Linked DNA regions of Ovis aries. The protein of the gene in region 3 purifies or fractionates together with the protein of the main gene of each other region. This does not show direct contact. Links are inferred from orthologs where the notes say so. Each region holds a gene or a part of one and is shown on either strand. Other genes may lie near its edges.

Region 1 (3,500 bases), on a different chromosome or scaffold from region 3:
TCTGGCTTCTGACTTCCCTGATCTCCTTGGCTTGGCCTCCCCCCAGGTTTGTGAATGGGGCAGGTTACTTTGCTGCTGTGGCAGATGCCATCCTGCGAGCTCAAGAAGAGATTTTCATCACAGACTGGTGGTAAGTGGGAGAAGAACCTGAGCAAGAAAGTGTGGGTTAGTACCTGCAACAGATCAGCTTATGGGTCAGAAAAGGAGTGGAAGGGGAGGAGTGGCTGTTGTTGGGAGCTTAGCTTACCCTCACCTGCTGCCCTGAATCCCAGGTTGAGTCCTGAGATTTACCTGAAGCGTCCAGCCCATTCAGATGACTGGAGACTGGACGTTATGCTCAAGAAGAAGGCGGTGAGGAGAATGGTCTGGCTGGAGGGGAGGTATGGTCAAGGGGTGGCTTGTGGGTGGAGATTGGTTGGAAGAGACTATAGCATGGCGGGGGGTAGGGGGGGAAGGTAAGGAATCTAAAACTTGAGGTGGAGGAAATGTACCCATCCTGGTTCAGTCTCACAGAAATCACCTCTTCCACTTCCCTGGGGAGAACTCCCTTAGAGAAGAAGACCAACCTCCCTGTTCTTGCCCTTCCTCTCCTTGATGTAGACTTTCCTCCCAATACCCTATACACTCAATTCTGTTATGGGGGATGGACATATCTGTCTCTCTCATTGGGTGGATGAATACCACTAGCTGCAGTACAAGGCACAGTGTCTGCTATGTTGGGAGCATCCAGAGATGGTGATGGATGGGAGGAAAGATATGCGGATGATGGAGAGTGTGTGGGTGAGGGGATGGATAGATGATGGAAAGGGAGATAGAAGGCTATGAGGTTGGGAAGGTAGATCCAAGGAGAGTGGTAAATAGATAGATGAGTGACAGATGGTAGATAAGGGATGAGTAAATTGTTGGGAAGATGGATGGCTAGATAATGCTAGGTAGGTGGGTAGATGTGTGGATGGATGAGTGAGTGAGCAGATAGATGATATTCAATCTAAGTTTGCTGTAAGCATCAAAACAGGGTGTCAGTGGCATAGCATTGAGGATCTCTGGGTGGAGAGGAGGAACATCCAGGAACCCTGAGGGTGGGAAAGGGTCATTAGGATCTGATTCCCTCACTGACCACCAGGAGGAGGGTGTCCGAGTGTCTGTACTGCTGTTCAAGGAAGTGGAGTTGGCCTTGGCCATCAACAGTGGCTACAGCAAGAGGGTACTGATGCTGCTGCACCCCAACATAAAGGTGACTCAGGCCCCAGAGACCCCTCCCTTCTGGCCCTCCTCACTACACATCCCCCCACCCCCCCCCCCCCAGCCACCAACCCTCCTTGTCCTTGAACGTCTCATCTTTCCATCTTCCTGTTCCCTGCCTCCTCCAAACGCTGCCTCTGGCTTCTCCCACCTACGCCCACACTCATGAACTCCCCCATACCTGCTCCAGGTGATGCGCCACCCAGACCAGGTGACACTGTGGGCCCATCATGAGAAGCTCCTGGTGGTAGACCAAGTAGTGGCCTTCCTGGGTGGGCTGGACCTCGCCTACGGCCGCTGGGATGACCTACACTACAGACTGACTGATCTGGGGGATTCCTCTGAGTCAGCTGCCCCCCAGGTAATCCCCCAAGGCCTTCCGGAGCACACCCCCCCAACTCAACTAATGTAAATCCATACCCCTTCCCAGCTGCAGCCTTCCTCTCCAGTCATAGCCCTCATTCAAAGTTCCTGTGCCTTTCTGGGACCCCAACAACCTGCTTTGAATATACTGACTCAGTTGCCTCCCCATGACCTCTACCCATTTCTCTAGGGATTTCAAATGCATCTGAAGGGGAGGGCCAGGGAATCAAACTCTCTCTGTTTCATTCTTCCTCTGTGTGTCTCTCTGTCTTCCCGTCTTCCAGTGCTCCTTTCTTCTCTTTGGCCTGGCTCTGTGTGACCCATGACCTCTCCTTGCCCCTGGCTTGGGTGTGTTCCCCCTACAGCCTCCCACCTCACGCTCAGACCTTCCAGCTACCCCCGACCTCACTCACAACCAACTCTTCTGGCTGGGCAAGGACTACAGCAATCTGATCACTAAAGATTGGGTGCAGCTGGATCGGCCTTTTGATGGTAGGGGGTCCACCTTCTTCAAAGTCCCTAAGAGCTGGGAGCCGGGGCAGAGGGCGGGCCTGGGTCTGAGGATGGGATGAACCGGGTCTTAATGCCACCTCTTCTCCGGTCAGCACCTCCTCCTCCCTGACCCACGTGTTCCCAAGGGACCGTCCCTGACCTCTTCCCTGACTCTCCTGGGACATTCTCCCTCCCCCCAGATTTCATTGACAGGGAGACTATGCCACGGATGCCATGGCGGGACATTGGGGTGGCGGTCCACGGCTCACCCGCCCGGGACCTTGCCCGGCACTTCATCCAGCGCTGGAATTTCACCAAGGTGCCTGATCCCTCCGAGCCTGGAGGGTGGGCGGGAGCCAGGGGCAGCTAGCCATCTCCCGCTGATTCTGCCACCCCTCCGCCTTAGACTACCAAGGCCAAGTACAAGATACCCATGTACCCCTACCTGCTGCCCAAATCCACCAGCACCGCAAACCAGCTCCCTTTCACGCTTTCCGGAGGGCAGTGCGCCACTGTGCAGGTGAGGCTCGGAATTCAGCCGGCCCTCTCCCCGCTCCCTTCAGCGCAACCTCGCTTCAGCACTCTCCCTGACGGAGAGCGCCCTCCCGCCCCCGCCCCCGAACCCCTTCCTCTCCTGGACTCAGGAGGCACATCCTATCCGTCGTTCCCGCAGGTCTTGCGGTCAGTGGACCGCTGGTCAGCGGGCACCCTGGAGAACTCCATTCTCAATGCTTATCTGCACACCATCAGAGAGAGCCGGCACTTCCTCTACATTGAGGTCTGTCGGAGTGAGGGTGGAGCAGAGAAACTTAGGATATCCTGTCAGTGGGCTCAGTCGTTTAGGGCTGGCATAGCTGGACCTGGAGAACTTGGTGAAGCCTGGACCCAGGGCCGGGAGCCTGGGGAGGGGGATGGCGACATGGAGCTGAGGGCAGGAACTGCTGACGGCGGCCGGACTGCTGACGTCTGTCATTCGTCCCTGCTCCAGAATCAGTTCTTCATTAGCTGCTCAGATGGGCGGACGGTGCTGAACAAGGTGGGCGATGAGATTGTGGACAGAATCCTGAAGGCCCACAAGTAAGGCGGACCAGCTTGGAACCTGGGGGTTATGGGCGTGTTTTAAGACTAACCAGAGGGATGAGGGGAGGGGTGGGGCTTGGGAGACGGGTCACACCGCTGACTCCGCCCCTCTCCAGACAGGGGCAGTGCTTCCGAGTCTACGTGCTTTTGCCCCTCCTCCCTGGATTCGAGGGTGACATCTCCACAGGTGGTGGTAACTCCATCCAGGCCATTCTGCACTTCACTTACAGGTGACCACCGCCTCGCCCTTCCCACCCTAACCCCTGCCAGACTCTGCCCCTCCATGGCCCCATCCTGATCCCTTCTTGCTGGACTGTTTTCTG
Region 2 (2,200 bases), on a different chromosome or scaffold from region 3:
CCCCTGCCTTGGGAGTTCAGAGTCTTAACCACTGGACCCACCAGGGAAGTCCCTCCATTAGGTTTGTATCAATACAAGCATTCAGTTCAGCAAATACTTGAACACCTACTCATGCCAGAGACTGTTCTAAGTGCTGGAGGGAAAACAGTGAACCAGACGTAGAAAGCTATGCCCCTCTGGAAGCCCGCGTTCTCCCCTCTCAGAGAACTGGGATGCAGACCCCAGTAAGTGAACATGGGCTCTGTGAAGCGCCAGGGTCCAAGGAAAGAGTCCCATGGCATGTACTGCCTGGCCCAGCCTACCTGACCCCCTTGGCTGCCTCTCACTCACCCCTCTGTGCCCTTGCCCTTGCATTTCCTCCCACCTGGAATGTCCTTCCCTGCTTTTTAACGTGGTTCACGCGTGTCGTTTAAGGCCCAGCCCTGTGTGTCATCCGAACCTCTCCCTCCACCTGATGAGTATCTCCCTCTGTACTTTATTCTTTCCGTTATCATGCTGACTGTCTCCGTGTCTGTCTCCCCCAGCCACCGGGGAGGGCAGAGGTCTTGCCTCTCTGCCCCTAGGTCCCAGTTCAGGCCTTGTAAGTCCCTGATGCAGGATGTGGCTGGGAGAGAGTTTGGTTCTGGAAGAGCTGGGGGGTGGTCACCAGGGTCCAGAGTGAGCCACCACCCGTCCCCGGGTGGCCCTCCTCTTCCTCTCAGATTAACAAGATGGAGTGGTGGAGCCGCTTGGTATCCAGTGACCCCGAGATCAATACTAAGAAGATAAACCCCGAGAACTCCAAGGTGAGCCCAGGCTGCTTGGAGGAGCTGCGGTCGGGAGGTTTGGGGCCTGGGTGGCCCCAGGCCTTCACCCACCCTGTCACTGTCTGCCCCCAGCTGTCAGACCTGGACAGTGAGACCCGTAGCATGGTGGAGAAGATGATGTACGACCAGAGACAGAAGTCTATGGGGCTGCCTACCTCCGATGAGCAGAAGAAACAGGAGATTCTGAAGAAGTGAGCGATGCAGAGATGGGGGTTTGGGGGAGGTGTCTACGGCTGGGACCTGGGTGACAGTGGCAAGTGTTTACTGAGCAGAACACAGGAGCTGCCCCGCCCCTTCCAGGATGAGCCAGCCAAGTTTATGGCTTTATAGCCTTGGCTTGCCTCCCCTAATCACTTACTGAGGTCATCTTGAGGGCAAGGCCACCACAGGATAGGAAAGGGTAACAGGCGGTCACAGTTTCCAACAGAAAAAGCAGTGCCGGTGTTGGCACCTCAGCATCCAGCCTTGGGGAGACCTTGGGGGCCCCACTCCTGTCTGGCATGGCTCCGGGTTGCTGAGAGCTGTAAACAGATGAGACCTCATGTTGGAGGCTGAGAGAAAGGGACAAATTTAGGGAGACGGATGGCCTGTCTCACCTTCCTGCTTTGTCTCTGCAGGTTCATGGATCAGCATCCAGAGATGGACTTTTCCAAGGCCAGATTCAACTAGCCCCTGTGTTTGCTCCCCTGAACTCTCTAGGCTGAGCTCCCGGCTCCCCACTTTCCTCTCCCACCCTCCCTGGGACTGGTGGGCCACAGGGCCAGGGCAGGCACGGGGCTGGCTGGCACACACAGGTCCCAGGCCATCATGGGAGAAGGGCTGGGGCCTTGGGGGGGGGTCTTGTCCTCCTCAGCTGGCCTGCTGTTACACATTAAAACCATTTACCCAATTCCACTCACGTCTTCTCTTCCCTCTGGCCTTTCTCTGGGGTTCAGGCCTCTTAGGACTGCTGCTGTGACCTGGGGGCTTGACTGCTCACCCAGGCTCTGCTGTGTGATCTAGGGCAAGTCTTTGCCTCTCCCTGGGCTCAGTTTCTCATTACTTAAATAGAGGATCCCGACAAGGCTTTTAGTCTGTGTATGATTTTGAACAAAAGGGGTTGGTTATAGGCACCAAACAATGTCAGATTCTCCAAGGGGCCCATGACTCAGCAGCACTTAAGACCAGCCTGACTTGATTTCCATTTTCATCTCTGAGACAATTTCCCACTGCACTGGGTCTGTCCTTTAGTCCTGGAGCAAGTGTTTCTAAAACTATACACTACTTCCCAGAGGCAGAGAGCAAGCAGCAAAGCCTAGGGGCACCGCCTAGGCCTCAGATGGGCTTTGTGTGTGGTGGGGATCTGGCTGGGAAGGCAGGGGGAAGCCCAAAGGAGCCTGTTGTGTGTCTTTGAC
Region 3 (3,500 bases):
TTTCCTATAATGAATAGTGCTGCTGTATCTTTATATACAGCTTTGTCTCATTGGTAGAGATTCCTGGGGAGGTATCAGTGTTTTGAGGCTGATAAATAAATACAACTATATTGTCTTTAGAGGATGTGTCAGTTTAGCTCCACTGGTGGAGAGTGCCAGCTTCACTAGACCATTACCCACATTTTTCTTTCTTTGCCATGTTTATTGAAATAACAATTTTTCTTGCTGACCTCTTATGTAATGGTGTTGCATACTAATTGCAATTTAATATGTAAGGCAAAGAAGACCTACCTATCATGTAAATGGTTGGTTAAAAGTTCTTAGGAAGAGGAGGATAAAAGGCTGATGGAACCAAGTACTTTGGTCTAAGGTCTAGATATGCCGTAGTTTAGAAGTGTTGGTAATTTTTTGTTCTTAAGTGCTTTATTCTTAACACTGTTTAGAATGGATAAAAATTTTAGCTTCGAATGCTGCAAAATAATGTAGGTGCTTTGCAAGGTAGTTTTAACCTTTTTGTTCCTTTATTTAATTAAAATATTTTTGTTCCTTTGTTTTAAAGTAAATTAAGCAACTTCAGTTTCACTTTACTACTAAAGATTTAAAAATACTATGAGAAGGGTAAAACCAAGTTAAATGCAAGCTGTTTCCAAGTTGTAAATGAATATTTTTGAGACTTTGATATAGATTTTTTTTGAGGTTTGTTTGAAAATGAATAGTCCTGCAGTTCAGATATGTTGTGTGAATAAAAGCAAGTTGGGGTTTATCAATTGGGATTTTTAATAGGCTTTTTATCTAGACCATTTGGGGGTCATGGACCCCTTTGAAATTTTTGTAAAAGTTGCTCAAATTTTGCTTATAATTCTCTGGGTGTTTCAGACATTGAAAGCTTGTAGGCTTTCTATTTGGAAACCTATTCTCTGTTACAGTGTAATAAAGCCAGGTTTTTGTTTTTTGTTTTTCTTTTCTTTAAGACATACCCAATCTGAGTGTCTCCCAGAAATTGTAATATAACTTTGTAGCCTTTCTGAACAGAGGCTTACAGTAGAGCATGAACTCCGGAGCTAGATTGCATGTGTGATCTTGGGCAAGTTACTTAACCTCTCTGTGCCTCAGTTTTGTCCTCTAAGATGAGGATAATAATTTTGCTTCATTCAAAGGGTTGGATTAGGTGAAGGTTTTGTCTAAGGCTAGAAGAAGGTGTGATGTTTTGAATTTGTGTAGTTATCAGCTTTATCAGAAAATACAGCACAGTCAATTATTGGCCTGATCCTTTACATTCCGGCTTTAAGTACCACCTGTATTTATGGCCATAAACAATTTGAGCTACAAAATAAAATCTCACTCAGTTGACTTAATATAAGATGTTCTTGAATTCTTTGTTTAAAAGGTTATAGTGAAATTAGCTGTATCAGCTAATCCTTTCTTGTATTTAAGACAAATTGGCAAAATTTGAATCTAATTCTTTTCTCCACAGAGTATCTTTAGAAGACCTGTATAATGGCAAGACAACCAAACTACAACTTAGCAAGAATGTACTCTGTAGTGCTTGCAGTGGGTGAGTGTGTTTCCTGGTTATGAAATAAATGTCATCTGTTGTTTGAGTCACATATTGAGTCTATATCAAATAAAAACTATTCATGATTTCAAAGTGACTACCCAACCCAGAACAGTTTCTGATACCTCTGAAAGTTGGTTAAAAGGGGGTTGAAGATGAAAGTAAAAAGCACAATTCCCATTTTTGATGACCTAGAGGGGGAAAATCTAATTTATACTTTTGCTTGCTTTAGCCAAGGTGGGAAGTCTGGAGCTGTTCAGAAGTGTAGTGCTTGTCGGGGTCGAGGTGTGCGCATCATGATCAGACAGCTGGCTCCAGGGATGGTACAGCAGATGCAGTCTGTGTGTTCTGACTGTAATGGAGAAGGTATGCATGCCAGTGTTTCTCTGCCTTTCTGTTGGGGTGGATTGGGAATGCAGAAATTGGAGAGGCTTACAGTTTTTCTTTTTCAACGTGTTTTTATATTCATCATATTGTAAAAGGTAGTTATTTTTAAAAATGCAAAAATATTATTTCCTTTTGCATAGGCCCAGTGAACACCAATAAACAGTAAATTTATATTACGTTGAGTGGAATGTTAGTCTTTTTCCAAAAAGATGGGCAAAGTTTTTTGTCCTTTTGTATTTTATTGTTATTTACTTATCCTTTATGTTTTAAAATGTAAAAGGGAGACAGCAAATTGTTTAGTTCTCATTCTGATAAGTGGAGTATTTTACTGTAAACTTTAGTTAGCTTTTGAGGATAGATCATTATAATTGAAGCTTATTTTACAGAAGTAAATATTTTAGGTTTTTGTAGGTTAATGGTTTTTGAAACTGCTACTCTTCTACCCTTTTAGCACTTTTATAGCCAGAGATAATATGTAAATAAGTGGGCATGACTGTGTTCTGGATAAACAGTATTTACAGAAACAAAGGCATGCCCAGCTTGGCCTGCAAGCCTTAGTTTGCCGGCCCAGTTCTAGAGCAGTGCTGCCCAAAAGAAGTTCTCTGTGCTGGAAAGGTTCTATGTATGTAATGGCTACTGTAGTAGCCACTAGCCACCTGGGTGTGGCTGAGGAACTGAGCTCTTAATTATTTTAAACTTAAATAACCTCAAGTGGCTAATGACTGCTATATTGGACAGTTCTAGAACACCCTTTTCCAAATTGCTTCTGAAAGTGACAAGATAATTTTGAGAAGCCACATACCATATTTCCCTCCTGAAGAGTCTTAATGCATTTTACCTTATTAAAGTTGCTGACATTTCCCACTCAAGAAGTTGGAGTTGATTGAAATCTTTTCCCATGTGCCATTACCATTTTAAGGAACTGGTGCTTTGCAGAACATACCTTGCAGAAGCAGTGTTCCTAAAGTCATTTATGTTACCTAAGCATTAAAGTGTGCCAATAATCAGCCATTATAAATTGATGGTATCTTTTTCATGATATACTATTGTATGACTTCAGTTTTATTTTATTATGCCACTGATCAAATATTTCAGAATACATGGAAGAAAAAACTGTTGGAGTCATAAAGGATGTTTAAATTTTTATTTGGGTTGTCACTCCATTGTCAAATTTAAATGAAACTAAGACAAAAAGTGAAGCATTTGTAGAAGTTCTAGTGTCTGACCACCCGTTTTGTTTGCTTGATCCTCAGGCTTTGTTTTAACTTTAGGAAGTAGTGTCAGGAGGTAAGATAATGTTATTTAAGATATTTTATACTCTGGAATAGAGTAGCTGGGTCCTTTAGGTAATCTGCAGTAAGATGTGAGTTTTGTTCCTAAGAATGTTCATGAAAAGTTCAGGTAGCAGTTTAAAGAAGTACAGGAAATTTATTTAGTGAATAAAGGCGTTATCAGGACCTGTCTTACTTAAGAGTGCAACATAGTACCCTTGCTGGAAGTTTGAATGACCTCTTTTTCCAGGAGAGGTAATTAATGAAAAGGACCGCTGTAAAAAATG
Region 4 (3,500 bases), on a different chromosome or scaffold from region 3:
GTCCCAGTGGTTTTGTATGCAGCAATATTTGAAAGGAAATACACAAAGTCAACAGTTGTTAGGGTAGAAACATGATGGATAATTCTTTTCACCTCATTTTCAAATTTCCGCCAATAGTATATAGTCTTTATAATTTAAAGATCTCAGGAAATGCAAAACAAAGGCAAGGGATTTTAACTCACCTTTTAATGTTAGATAATTCTTTCTTAGTGTTTTTACTTCTTGTCTGAAACAACGGGAGAAACCAAAGTACTAAATTAACATACGTACTGAAATTTGCTTAAAAGCTTGGATTTACCCTCCCAAGTGATACCTTGCTCATTTCTGCCCAAGTCTGCAAAAATCCTTTGAATAGTTCATTGTCATCATCTCGATTTTCAGGAGTCATTTCTAAAGGCCCAGGAGGTATCAAAGGCTGTTATAAAAAATAGGAAAAGAAAAAAAACACTTGGTTGTCACTCTGCCTTAGAATTCAAGCTTGAGGTTTCTCTTTACTTTCAATATCCACTAAGGGGTGACATATAGTTAGCAATCAAAAACAGTTGTTCAGTGAATGAATGCCAAGTATCCTGTAAAGTAAAAACATGTATTATCTCATTTAATTCCCTTAACAATCCAGTGAATGAGATATCACATTTCAAAGACAGTGGAATGAAACAGAGAAGTTAATTTGTCCAAAGTTACACTGCCCATAGAGTTGCTTGGAATTGATTCAGATCAGTTCAATTTCATTACTCAAGTTATTACTCTGTATCATTTTTTATATCAGGGATTATAACCCACAAGTCATGAAATCATTTTAATATGTTATAACCAACAGTGCGCTTTATTGAATGAGAAAAGAATAGACCAGAAAATACAAAAGTACATCATATGTAGTAAGGGTTAAGTATCATTTCACAAAAGGTTTGTTTCAGTTTTGTGTGTGTGTGTCTGTGTGTGTGTGTGTGTGCGCACCCATGCGTGCACACGGAGTGGATTCAATGTAAGTTATTTCTTATCATGGATGCATAGAGGCTTCAAAAAATGAGCTACTCTCTCCGTAGCAACTTAATTTCCAATTAGCTCTCAAAGCACCATGCTAATGAGTACTATCTTCCAAGTTATAATTAAGCACTTAGATATAAAGTATTTAAAAAGTAGATGCTCCTGAATAAAAAATAATCTTACTCAGACAATAAATTTGGTAAATAAAACTCTTTCCAGTCACTGACAGCATAAATTAAACCACAATATAGGACCTCCATCATTATTATCACATATTATTATTAATATTACCATTTATTGCTTACTAAGTAATATAATACATTCAATATAATGTAAGAACCTTTATCCGTCATACCACCCCTTGTGAGAGGTTTCTGTTATTGTTGCTGTTTTAAAAATAGGGAACCTGGGGCTCAGAATGGCTAAGCAATTTACCCACAATCCGACATAGGTAAGTCTGCAGAAGTATATAATCCGGTCTTTCATGAGTTTGAAATCTTACTCATTAAACCATATTAGTTAGTTCAGTCTCTCAGTCGTGTCCGACTCTTTGTGACCCCATGAACTGCAGCACGCCAGGCCTCCCTGTCCATCACCAACTCCCGGAGTCCACCCAAACCCATGTCCATTGAGTTGGTGATGCCATCCAACCATATTAAACCATATAACAGTCAAGTATTAAATTAATGAAGTACAAATTAAACATACTTTACTGACTTTTTACTCTATTTTCAAACACTTCAAATTTTTCAGTATTTTATTGATTTAGTATATTATATTTGCACTCTTTCTTACATTTTCTTCTACTTCTAATTCGGTCTGGGTTGGGGCTGCTGGCAATGGGACTCCTGAAGGATCAACTTTTAGTAATCGCATTGACCTTCTACATCCAGTTCCATTTTCTTTTTTCTTGGGTTTCTTCCTGAGGAGTGGAAGGAAAATCATGTTATACTCATAAATGAGTTATATGGATTTATTACTACCAAGGAGAAAACTTCTAGTAGTGTATCTCACACATATAGTCAAACACTGCAAAGATATATATACATACCTACACTAATTTTAATTTAAAGTTTGGAAACATGTAACTATTCATTATGGGGAGGTAAGGGATATTAAATTAAGACATACATATTTAGTCAACTATTAAGCAGCCATAAAAAAGAATGAAATAGATCTTTATGTGCAACGACATGAACCCTAAGATATAAGATGCAAAAGAGAAGGTACAGTAGATGTTGAATATGGTTACATTTGCTTTTTCACAAAATACATACATGTACATTTGTAACTGGTGAGATTACCAATGGAAGAATATCCATGAAAATATTAACAGTGGATTACTCTAGGGAGAAGGGTGGAGAACTAAGGTCCAAACTTACAAAAAAAAAAAAAAAAAAGACAACTATTTCATTGCATTTGCTTCCATATAGTCTACCTTGTAAAATCATAGATACCCTACTTTTTATTTATTATTTTTTCATTTAAAAAAGTAGTTCAGAGGCTTCCATGGTGACTCAGTGGTGGGGAATACACATGCCAGTGCAGGGACGGAGGTTCAATCCCTGGTTTGGGAAGATTCCACCTGCTATGCAACAACCAAGCCTGTGTCCTGCAGCTATTAAAGCTCACAGCCTAGAGCCTGTTAACTGCAATTACTGAACTCATGAACCAAGACAACTGAACTCATGCACTCCAAAATACATGCTCTGTAACAAGAGAAAAAAAAAAAAAAAACCTGTGCACAACAAAGACTCAGCACGGCCAATAAATGAATAAATAAATAAAATTAAAATTAAGCAATTATGAAATAAAAACAATGTGCTTTTGGACTTCCCTAGAGGTACAGTGGATAAGAATTCCTCCTGACAACACAGGGTATACGGGTTGGATCCCTGCTCAAGGGAGATTTCACACCACAGAGAAAGAAACTAAGCCTGTGTGCCACAACTACTGAGCCCACGTGCCGCAACTACTGGAGCCTGCTTGCCAAAAGTCTAGGCTCCACAACAAGAGAAGCCACCACAAACAGAAGTGTACACACCACAGCGAAGAACAGACCCTACTCACAGCAACTGGAGAAAAGCCTGCCCAGCAACAAAGACCCAGCACAGCCAGAAGTAAATAGACTAAATAAAACTATGAAAAAATAATTATCACCAGCCAAAGTTAATTTTTAAAAACTGTTCAGAACTACCCTGGTGCCTTTTTGCCCGACATCTTAGCGAGGCAGCAGTGGTTGCAGCTGCTCTCCGGGCTTCGCTATGCCGCCCAAGGACGACAAGAAGAAAGATGCCGGAAAGTCGGCCAAGAAAGACAAAGATCCAGTGAACAAATCTGGAGGCAAGGCCAAAAAGCAGAAGTGGTCTAAAGGCAAAGTTCAGGACAAGCTCAATAACCTAGTCTTGTTTGACAAAGCAACATATGACAAACTCTGTAAAAAAAGTTCCCAACTATAAGCTTGTAACTCCAGGTGTGGTCTCTGAGAGACTGAAGACTCGTGGTTCCCTGGC
Region 5 (4,151 bases), on a different chromosome or scaffold from region 3:
CATTTCAGCAGGCCAGAGGAGGCACTGGCTAATTAAAGTGTATCAGTGCCTCGGCAAGCCTGTGCTGAGTCCTTACTACGGTGACATCCACTATCCCACTGTCCCTTAAGCAACCATGTGGTAGATAACGGGTATTATCCCCATTTTAAGGAGAGGATGTTGAGGTTATTTGCCCAGGGCACCCAGAGACTGAGGCTTCGCTGGTGGCTCAGTGGTAAAGAATTCGCCTTGCAATGCAAAAGAATGCGGGTTAGATCCCTTGGTCGGGAAGATCCCTTGGAGAAGGGAATGGCAATTTCCCAGTATTCTTGCTTGGGAAATCCCATGGACAGAGGAGCCTGGCGGGCTACATCAAGTACCTCCTACAGTAAGTAGCCCACCAGGCTCCTCTATCCATTAGATCACAAGGGTCGGACACAACTGAGCGACTAAACAACAGCAAACCCAGAGACTAGGTGACAGGGCCTGGGTTCCGACCCCAGCAGAGCCAGCTGCTTGGCCACAGTCCCCTGCCCCACTCATCCCAGTCCTCAGCAGAAAAATCACCCAGCAAGCCCAGGGGAGCTCAGTCCCTTACATCTGGGAGGCCGGGCAAGCCGCACAAGGGCAAGAGTGAAGGCTTGGTTAGGAAGACACAGTTCAAAGCTGGCTCACAGTTCAAAGCTGGCTTCAAGAAGGGATGCCCCCAGCAGAGGAGACTGAAGGTGAGAACCCCGTGCAAGGGTTGCTATCTGGGCAGAACATGAGTTAGGTGGATGTGACAAGAGAGAACATAGAGGAACAAGGGCAGATTCAGGGCCTGGTACACACAGGCAGAGATGTGGGTACCCCCAAAGTCTCTGTAGAGTAGAATTGGGGAGCTCAAGGTAGGGGATGGGCAGACTTTCCCAGGAACCAGATGAATGGGGACCTAGCGGTGTTGACACAGAGCCTGGGGGGAGCCTGGTTGGGCTGACCGGGAGGTGCCGCTGTCCCCAGGCCCCCCAGCTCTAGCCTTACCTGGGTAGGAAGAGTGGCCCCGTGCAGACATAGACATTTTGGTAGGTGCGGGTCAGACTGCGGCTGTACTTTTCCAAGTTGTTCCAGGCATTCTGGTTGAGGTGGGGCACCTGGCAGGAGAGGTGGGCTTCAGTGAGACTGGCTGGGACACTTGTAGTCAGAGGGCTGCCGCAGGCTTAGGGGCAGGCACTAGCACAGAGCCAGAAGGTTCCAGCAGCGGAGTGGGGATGGGGACAAGCATACAGAGGAAAGGGAGGTTCATGGAAGGAGAGTCACTTGGCCCAAACAGAGCTCACAGAGGTGCTAGCTGCCCCCAACCCAGATTGGGAGATCTAGCATCCCAAGTCTCCAAGCTGTTTCTCAGCCCCAAAGAGCAGGATGAAAGGGCAAATCTCCCAGAGAGAAAGAGGCTTGCTCCTGCCCCAGGAGCTCATGGGAAGACCAGCTCTTTCAATCATCTCTCCCTTCCTTCTCCAAAGTCTGAACTGCAGAGCCCAGCAGGGAAGGTCAGAAATCTGACTCCACCACCTGAGCTCTCAGGTCCTCGGCACAGTGTCCAGTCAAATGGGTGGGGGTCTCTGCTCCTGGGTGAGCACGTCAGCTCAGAAGCTGGGACCTCACAAGTCTCACTCAGAGCCCCACCATTCATCTCCACATGGGTGTCAGGCCCTGGTGGGAACAGGGCTAGAGGAAGGTCGGCTAGTCCAGGGTGCACAGTGACTGCTCCTAACAGCCACTGCGGGCACCTATTTATCCTTTTACTCCTGGAGGGCAGGCAGGGTAGGGCGATGGATTAAAAAAAGCTCAGGGTCCCCTAGACAGACTGCCTAGGTCTCCTCCCACGGTGTGACCCTGGGTCGGTCACTTTGTCTCGCTGAGACTTTCCTCATTATAGCTCTTATTTACTAAACGCTTGCCAAGAACCAGGAAGCGTGCCCGGTACTTTTATGTATGTAGACCGTTATCTTCAGTTCCTCGGCTCTACTGCAAGAGGCAGGTGAATAACAGTTTCATCCTGATTTCAGGGAGGCGCCCAGGGCCCTCGGGTTAAGATCAGAGCGCAATGGGTGCTCAGCGCCCCACTGCTCCATCCCTCCCGCAGGCGGCGCGCGGTGCGTGTGGCCAGGCGCCTGACCTAGAGGGCGCACAACTCAGCACTCTCCCATTCTGCAAAGAGGAAAATCAAGGCTTAGAGGCGAGCACTGGCCTCGGGTTTCGCCGCCGGGGTGGGGGGTGGGGGCGGGGGGCGGCGTAGGCGCTACCTGGGGCGCGACGTTGCTCAGGTAGAAGGTGTCGTCCATTGCTTTCTGGCTCCAGCGGTGGTTGGCCGCGGCAGCAAGGTGGCCGCGGTCGAAGCCGCTGCCGCGGTAGTCGGCGTTGGTGGCGCGGTGGTACGCATGCACCGAGTCGTCCTCGTGGAAGTCGCAGGAGCTGCGGTCGCCGTCGCCGCGGAGCCCCTCGGGCCGCAGCTGCTCGACCACCCAGAGCGCGCCGCGGGTGCGCGGGTCGTAACACAGCACGTACGACGCGCGGCTCTTGAGCTGCGCCACCCCGGGCAGCCCATACTTGGCCAACTCGCCCGGGCCGCCACCCGCGGGAGCCCCGGGCACCGCGGGAAGCCCCGCCGCCGCCGCCACTGGCAGCACCGGCAGCCGGCTCAACAGCCCCGGCGTCGCCCGCGCGTCGGCCCACTGCCGCCGCCAGCCCTCGGCAGCTGCACCCAGCCCTGCGCCCAGGGCCACAGTCAAGCCTGCGCGAAGCAACTGCATGGTCGCGGATGGTGGCCGGGGCCCGCGACGCTGAAGGGACGCCGCGACCTCCGGCGTCCGACCTGAAGGCTCTTAAAGGGGCCGCACAGGCCTGCGGGGGCCTACCACGGGGATGGAGCGGAGCGGAGGCGTGAGATGGCGGAAAGTGCGCCCCTCCACTCACGAACGCTCCGAGGTAGTGTCCAGTCCACAGTTGCGGGTCGGTGCCCACCTAATTGAGGACCGGACTTCTTTGCCCCTTTAGGACGCGGAGTAGAGGGGAGGGGCGTGGCATCACCACCACGGCTCATGATTGGCCGTCTCGGAACCGGCTCCGCCCCACTCCGGCCCCCTCGGTCTCCACGGAGGTTCCCTCCTACTCCGCAAAGATCCCGGAAAAAAAAAAAAAAAAGTTCTTAGCTCCTAATTTACACGAATGAACTGGGAAAACAAATCAGGAATGCAAGCATCCCCTACCGTATTCCTTATGATAGAGGCCGGGGAATAAGATACTCAGAAACAGGGACTGGTTTTGGACATTTTTAGCACATCAGATAGAATATGTCATAAAAATATTTTAAAATCATACAGTAGCTTGCTCACCAGCTAAGGTAATGGTGGTGGTGGTGGGTGGGTGGGGGGGTGGAGACAATACACAAAACTCTGAATCAAGAAAATGACTATCAATGTTATCAAGTATCTAATAAAAATTACATCTGCAAAGAAAACACCAACACGTTACAAGTGATTTTCTGCAGACAGTGGACTATAAATGACTTGTTGAAGTTCAACTTTTTTCAAAGAACTTACTATGAAATCACAATGTAATACCTCTGCCCCATTGCATACTCTCCTCCCATCAGCTGTAAACTGCAGGTGCTTAAGAAGAGTTGAACAGGCTCTTTTGGACAAATTCCTAGCCTTTTCCTTTAATCACTCTAAGAACCTCCTGACTTTCTGCTCATTTTTTTTTTTCCTGTTCTGAGGTCTCAATGGTTTCAGCCCATCACAGAACCAACACCTACTGCAAAGAACACGATTTATTAAAGACAACTTGTCATCAACAGCATTGATTCAAAAGAACAAAACAGATGAAAAAACAAAAGCAGACTAACATTCTGACCCTTGGAGTGAGACCTGAATTCATTCAGCTTATTCTGTACATGTCCAAAGTCCTGGGGGAGCTTCCAAGTAGGAAGCCTGGGAGTCTCTGGCTCTTGGGGCCTCCCTTGAGAGTCTGGGGTGGGGTGAGGGGCGGGGTGGGGGGGATTGCCAAGGGCAGGTCCTCCCACTGGGGGAGATTGCCAAGGGCAGGTCCTCCCACTGGGGGAGCTCAGTCTAACCTGGGTATGGTCCCTGTGCTCTTTTGACCTTTCTCACAAGGCCAAGGAGAGGGCACTGGAC
Region 6 (3,500 bases), on a different chromosome or scaffold from region 3:
AGGTGAGGGTGGGAGCCTGCACACTTGCTGGGGAGGGCACGGGGGCCCGTGACTGTCAGCTCAATACAGCCCCTCTGGACTTGCTGGGCCCTGGTCATGCAGGGGGCTGGCGCCCAGGAAGGCCACGGTGGTGGCTGCAGACACCATAGCCAGCTCACTCAATTATTCACCAGGACGTCGGCAGGGAGAGGGATAAAAATAGGTCCCCAGGTCTTGGAGACAGGCCCTGGAGCTCTTCCCCCGACCCAGAGGGGATGGCGGCAGGAACCAGCTCCTGCCTAGGCAGGGACCACAAGCTCCAGGACTCTGCCTCCAAGCCCCACCAGGAAGCCCCATGTCTTCAGACATCTCCCTAACCCTGGAGGGGGCCTCCGATCACTCCCCTGCAAGAGCTGGAACACCCCGATCCACACTGGGTCCAAGCCCAAGCAGGACAAGCCTATTTCTGAGCTGGATGGGCATCTTGTGTCCTGGTCAGACTTGCTGCAGCCATTCCAACAAGGGCTTGCGGGCCAGGAACCACAAGGCCCCTTCCTCTCCCCCTGAGCGTTGACGCCCATGCTGTTGCCCCCCGGGGCGTCCCGCCAGCACTTCACAACCAAGGGAAACCCTTCTTGTTATGACCTGCCCTCTCCTCCTTGCACAGTAGGGCCCATTGTCCTGCCCCTGTTTAAGGGTTCAGAGGACCGGTGCTATGGTCAGTTCCTGCCCCAGATGCCCCCCTCACTGCAGGGGCACAGGGCCACTCCCCAGGCTCTGGGACACACCCTCCCCAACCCAGGGCCTCCTGGGCCCCGGCAGTGCCAGGGCACAGACCCTCCCTGCTGACCATGGGCTCACCTGGGACGCCCACAAAGTCCACCGAGCAGCTCTCTGGACCCAGGCCCAGGCCGACGTGCACCACCCCACCCCGAGTCCCAGCCCTGGGGCAGCTTCCTGTCCCCACTGCACCTTCACAGGCCCCTCACTACATCTGGCAGCCACAGCTGGCCAAGCCCCTTGGTACCTGGCGCCGTCAAAGCCAGGCCAACTGGGTGCCTGGAAGTGGAGGGCTTCTTCCAGGTGGGCGCAGCCGTCATGGTGGACAATCTCCCACAGGTGGAGGCTGTCGTCATCCAGCAGGGTCAGGACTCGACCCTGGCGGGTGAGTAAGACCAGGACTAAGCTGACTGGGGTCGGGGACGGGGCAGGGGGTTTCTGGGGGCCGGTAGCGGGGCCGAGGCTCACCTGACCAGGCAGGAAATGCATCTGGGTGACAGTGGCCGCATCTCGGTGCAGGCCCGTGAACTCCACGCCAGGGGCACCGTAGCTGAGGGTGACGGGTCAAGGGTGGAAAGCAGGCACAGGCCAGGACACCAACACCAGGGATCACCTAGCCCCGCCTCCTCAGGACCACTGCATCAGGCCCCCGGTGACACGGGGAGGGGTGTCACCTAGCCCTGTCCAGGGGCCCTCCCAGGTTTGGGGGCTCCTCTCTGGAAGAAGCACTGCACTCAGGATGCAGACCCATTCAGTCCTGCAAGTCAGTGCTGCGTATGGCTTTCCCTTCCTCATCTGTAAAACCGGCCAGTGACTTGCTCGCCTGCCTCCTGGGGCAGACACAGGACACCTAAGAACGCAAGTTCTCCCGGCACACCTGGCCTGGGCCCAGCTCATGGCCCTGTGTCAGCCTCACGGGTCTGTGGGCGCAAGAGGTGGCCTGGCACATTGGCATCATGGGCAGAGATGCCAGGCCCAGGAAGCCGGGGACAGAGCAGAGTCCAGGCTGCCTCTCCACAACCACAGGCCGCTGCCAGCTGCAGGCCAGGAAATTCATGTCCTCGTGGGGCTGGCAGCCCCCACTGAGTTGGGAGAGGCCCCAGGGACTTGGAGAGGTGGATGCCTGACTACAAGTGCCCGGTGTGAGAGCCAGCGTCCCAGCAACCTCAGGCTTCACTGTGGACGGCGGGCCGAGGGGCCCCAAGGGGGAGGACTAGGCTGGGGTCAGCAACGTTGCTGGGAGACAAGGCAGGAGCCGTTGCTTGGAGCTGGAGCCGGGAGAACACAGACAACGGGACAAAAGAGGGGCAGGAGTGCTGGGCGGGAACCAGGTCGCCAGGGAGATGGGCCAGACTGGGGGGTGGAATGGCCCCTGCGGGCAGCCCCAGTTTCCTAACCCAGGGCATGGGCAGGAGCGGTCTGGGGTCGGGGGGCTTGTCCTCCTCTGAGGCCGTCTGGCTGCCCATCCTTTGTCAGCATGAGGGGCTGGTGCACTAGAAAGACCCCACCACCTGCAGAGACACACTGTGCCAGGGAGAAGGGGCCATGGGACCACGGCTCCCACAGGCAGGCAGCAGCTGGAGGCAGGAGCAGCAGGCAGGGAGGGGCCTCCTGGGCAGGCAGCAGCCTGGTGCAGACGACCAGGGGACCGTCTCCTCCCTGTCCCACTGATGCCTCGGTGTCCACGGAAGAGGAGGGGGCACCTAGACCCAGCCCCTCCACTTGGTCCCTGGAGCTGGCAAACTCACAACTGCCCGACCGGTGCCCCGAGTCCCGGATGGGGAGATCCCATCCTACCCTGTGGTGGCCAGCCAGACCCTGCACCTGGGCCCCACCTGGGGGACTCACCTCTTGCAGTGGGGGTGGGCTGCTCCACAGCAGGAAGGAGGCATCCAGCTGCCAACCTCCCCCGCCCCGCCCCTCCCCTTGGAGCTCTCAGGAAAATGGCCCTTTGTGCGGCTCACAGGCCCATTGTGCGGGGCCAGCATCCAGGTGGGGGCTGCGCTGCGCTCGCCACGCCGAGCCTGGCACTGCCCCCAGCCCTCGGCTGGACATACGTGTCTTCAGGCCGGCACACGTGTGCACCCGGTTTCAAGGGTAAGGCCTGCTGTGACTCTGGTCCTCCCGCCACCCTTGCTGGGGACCGTGTGCTGCCAGCCCCGGCCCACCTCCCCAGTCACAGCTGCTGGGACAACGGGAGGGTTGCCGAGGTAACTGGCTGCAGCGATGGGCAGCTGTGGACCCCTTCATCTCTGAGGCGCCGCCTCAGGGCAGCAGCTGCACGACCTCCACCAGGGGCCCAGCCCAGCGCCCCGCACATTAGCCACAATCCCAAAGGATACATCTTGACGGCCCCAGACCGGGTGCCGATGGCCATGATACGAAGCTCAGGGTCAAAGGCCAGCGCACTGGGCTGGTTGGGGAAGCCATGCTCCACGGTCTGCAGGGAGGTGGGGGTGTTTGCAAGGCACAGCCCCCACCCGAGGCCCACCCAAGGCAGTCTCCAACTCTGTCCCTGCTGCATGCCCGGCCCCCCGACCTCAGTGTCCTCAGCTGCGAGATGGATGACCAACTTCCAGAGGGTGAGGAAGGGCCTGAGCCCTGGCCCCACCACAGGCCTTCCCAGCCAAGACCCATCCCACTTGACACTTGGGTCCACGACAACAAACAGAATGGGGCTCGCAAGGGAGGATGCGCGGGTACAGATGCGAACCCCAGCTGCCCCACAGGGTAGGCTCTGC

What was found.
Region 1: the proteins of DNAJA2 (region 3) and PLD2 purify together in Homo sapiens (affinity purification with mass spectrometry; 3 studies listed by BioGRID and IntAct, with this or other methods). This does not show direct contact. The link is inferred for Ovis aries from reciprocal best matches to the Homo sapiens genes DNAJA2 and PLD2.
Region 2: the proteins of DNAJA2 (region 3) and NUDC purify together in Homo sapiens (affinity purification with mass spectrometry; 4 studies listed by BioGRID and IntAct, with this or other methods). This does not show direct contact. The link is inferred for Ovis aries from reciprocal best matches to the Homo sapiens genes DNAJA2 and NUDC.
Region 4: the proteins of DNAJA2 (region 3) and WDR76 purify together in Homo sapiens (affinity purification with mass spectrometry; 3 studies listed by BioGRID and IntAct, with this or other methods). This does not show direct contact. The link is inferred for Ovis aries from reciprocal best matches to the Homo sapiens genes DNAJA2 and WDR76.
Region 5: the proteins of DNAJA2 (region 3) and ENDOG purify together in Homo sapiens (affinity purification with mass spectrometry; 3 studies listed by BioGRID and IntAct, with this or other methods). This does not show direct contact. The link is inferred for Ovis aries from reciprocal best matches to the Homo sapiens genes DNAJA2 and ENDOG.
Region 6: the proteins of DNAJA2 (region 3) and LLGL1 purify together in Homo sapiens (co-immunoprecipitation; 3 studies listed by BioGRID and IntAct, with this or other methods). This does not show direct contact. The link is inferred for Ovis aries from reciprocal best matches to the Homo sapiens genes DNAJA2 and LLGL1.

What each region holds. Positions count from the first base shown.
Region 1 is NC_056064.1:26,424,029-26,427,528, reverse strand, and holds part of PLD2 (phospholipase D2), read left to right. Parts: intron 1-46; coding exon 47-130; intron 131-272; coding exon 273-351; intron 352-1,123; coding exon 1,124-1,234; intron 1,235-1,432; coding exon 1,433-1,603; intron 1,604-1,970; coding exon 1,971-2,097; intron 2,098-2,297; coding exon 2,298-2,416; intron 2,417-2,503; coding exon 2,504-2,617; intron 2,618-2,770; coding exon 2,771-2,875; intron 2,876-3,085; coding exon 3,086-3,174; intron 3,175-3,293; coding exon 3,294-3,407; intron 3,408-3,500.
Region 2 is NC_056055.1:240,000,959-240,003,158, reverse strand, and holds the end of NUDC (nuclear migration protein nudC), read left to right. Parts: intron 1-701; coding exon 702-785; intron 786-878; coding exon 879-997; intron 998-1,423; coding exon 1,424-1,475; 3' UTR 1,476-1,700; downstream 1,701-2,200. UniProt on the Homo sapiens protein: Plays a role in neurogenesis and neuronal migration. Necessary for correct formation of mitotic spindles and chromosome separation during mitosis. Necessary for cytokinesis and cell proliferation.
Region 3 is NC_056067.1:14,928,216-14,931,715, reverse strand, and holds part of DNAJA2 (dnaJ homolog subfamily A member 2), read left to right. Parts: intron 1-1,474; coding exon 1,475-1,555; intron 1,556-1,787; coding exon 1,788-1,921; intron 1,922-3,463; coding exon 3,464-3,500. UniProt on the Homo sapiens protein: Co-chaperone of Hsc70. Stimulates ATP hydrolysis and the folding of unfolded proteins mediated by HSPA1A/B (in vitro).
Region 4 is NC_056071.1:53,288,717-53,292,216, reverse strand, and holds part of WDR76 (WD repeat-containing protein 76), read right to left. Parts: exon of another isoform or gene 3,222-3,500; intron 1,910-3,221; coding exon 1,783-1,909; intron 416-1,782; coding exon 314-415; intron 227-313; coding exon 183-226; intron 1-182. UniProt on the Homo sapiens protein: Specifically binds 5-hydroxymethylcytosine (5hmC), suggesting that it acts as a specific reader of 5hmC.
Region 5 is NC_056056.1:7,612,685-7,616,835, forward strand, and holds the start of ENDOG (endonuclease G, mitochondrial), read right to left. Parts: upstream 2,801-4,151; 5' UTR 2,769-2,800; coding exon 2,262-2,768; intron 1,110-2,261; coding exon 1,000-1,109; intron 1-999. UniProt on the Homo sapiens protein: Endonuclease that preferentially catalyzes the cleavage of double-stranded 5-hydroxymethylcytosine (5hmC)-modified DNA.
Region 6 is NC_056064.1:34,155,518-34,159,017, forward strand, and holds part of LLGL1 (lethal(2) giant larvae protein homolog 1), read right to left. Parts: intron 3,200-3,500; coding exon 3,102-3,199; intron 1,310-3,101; coding exon 1,228-1,309; intron 1,138-1,227; coding exon 1,007-1,137; intron 1-1,006. UniProt on the Homo sapiens protein: Cortical cytoskeleton protein found in a complex involved in maintaining cell polarity and epithelial integrity. Involved in the regulation of mitotic spindle orientation, proliferation, differentiation and tissue organization of neuroepithelial cells.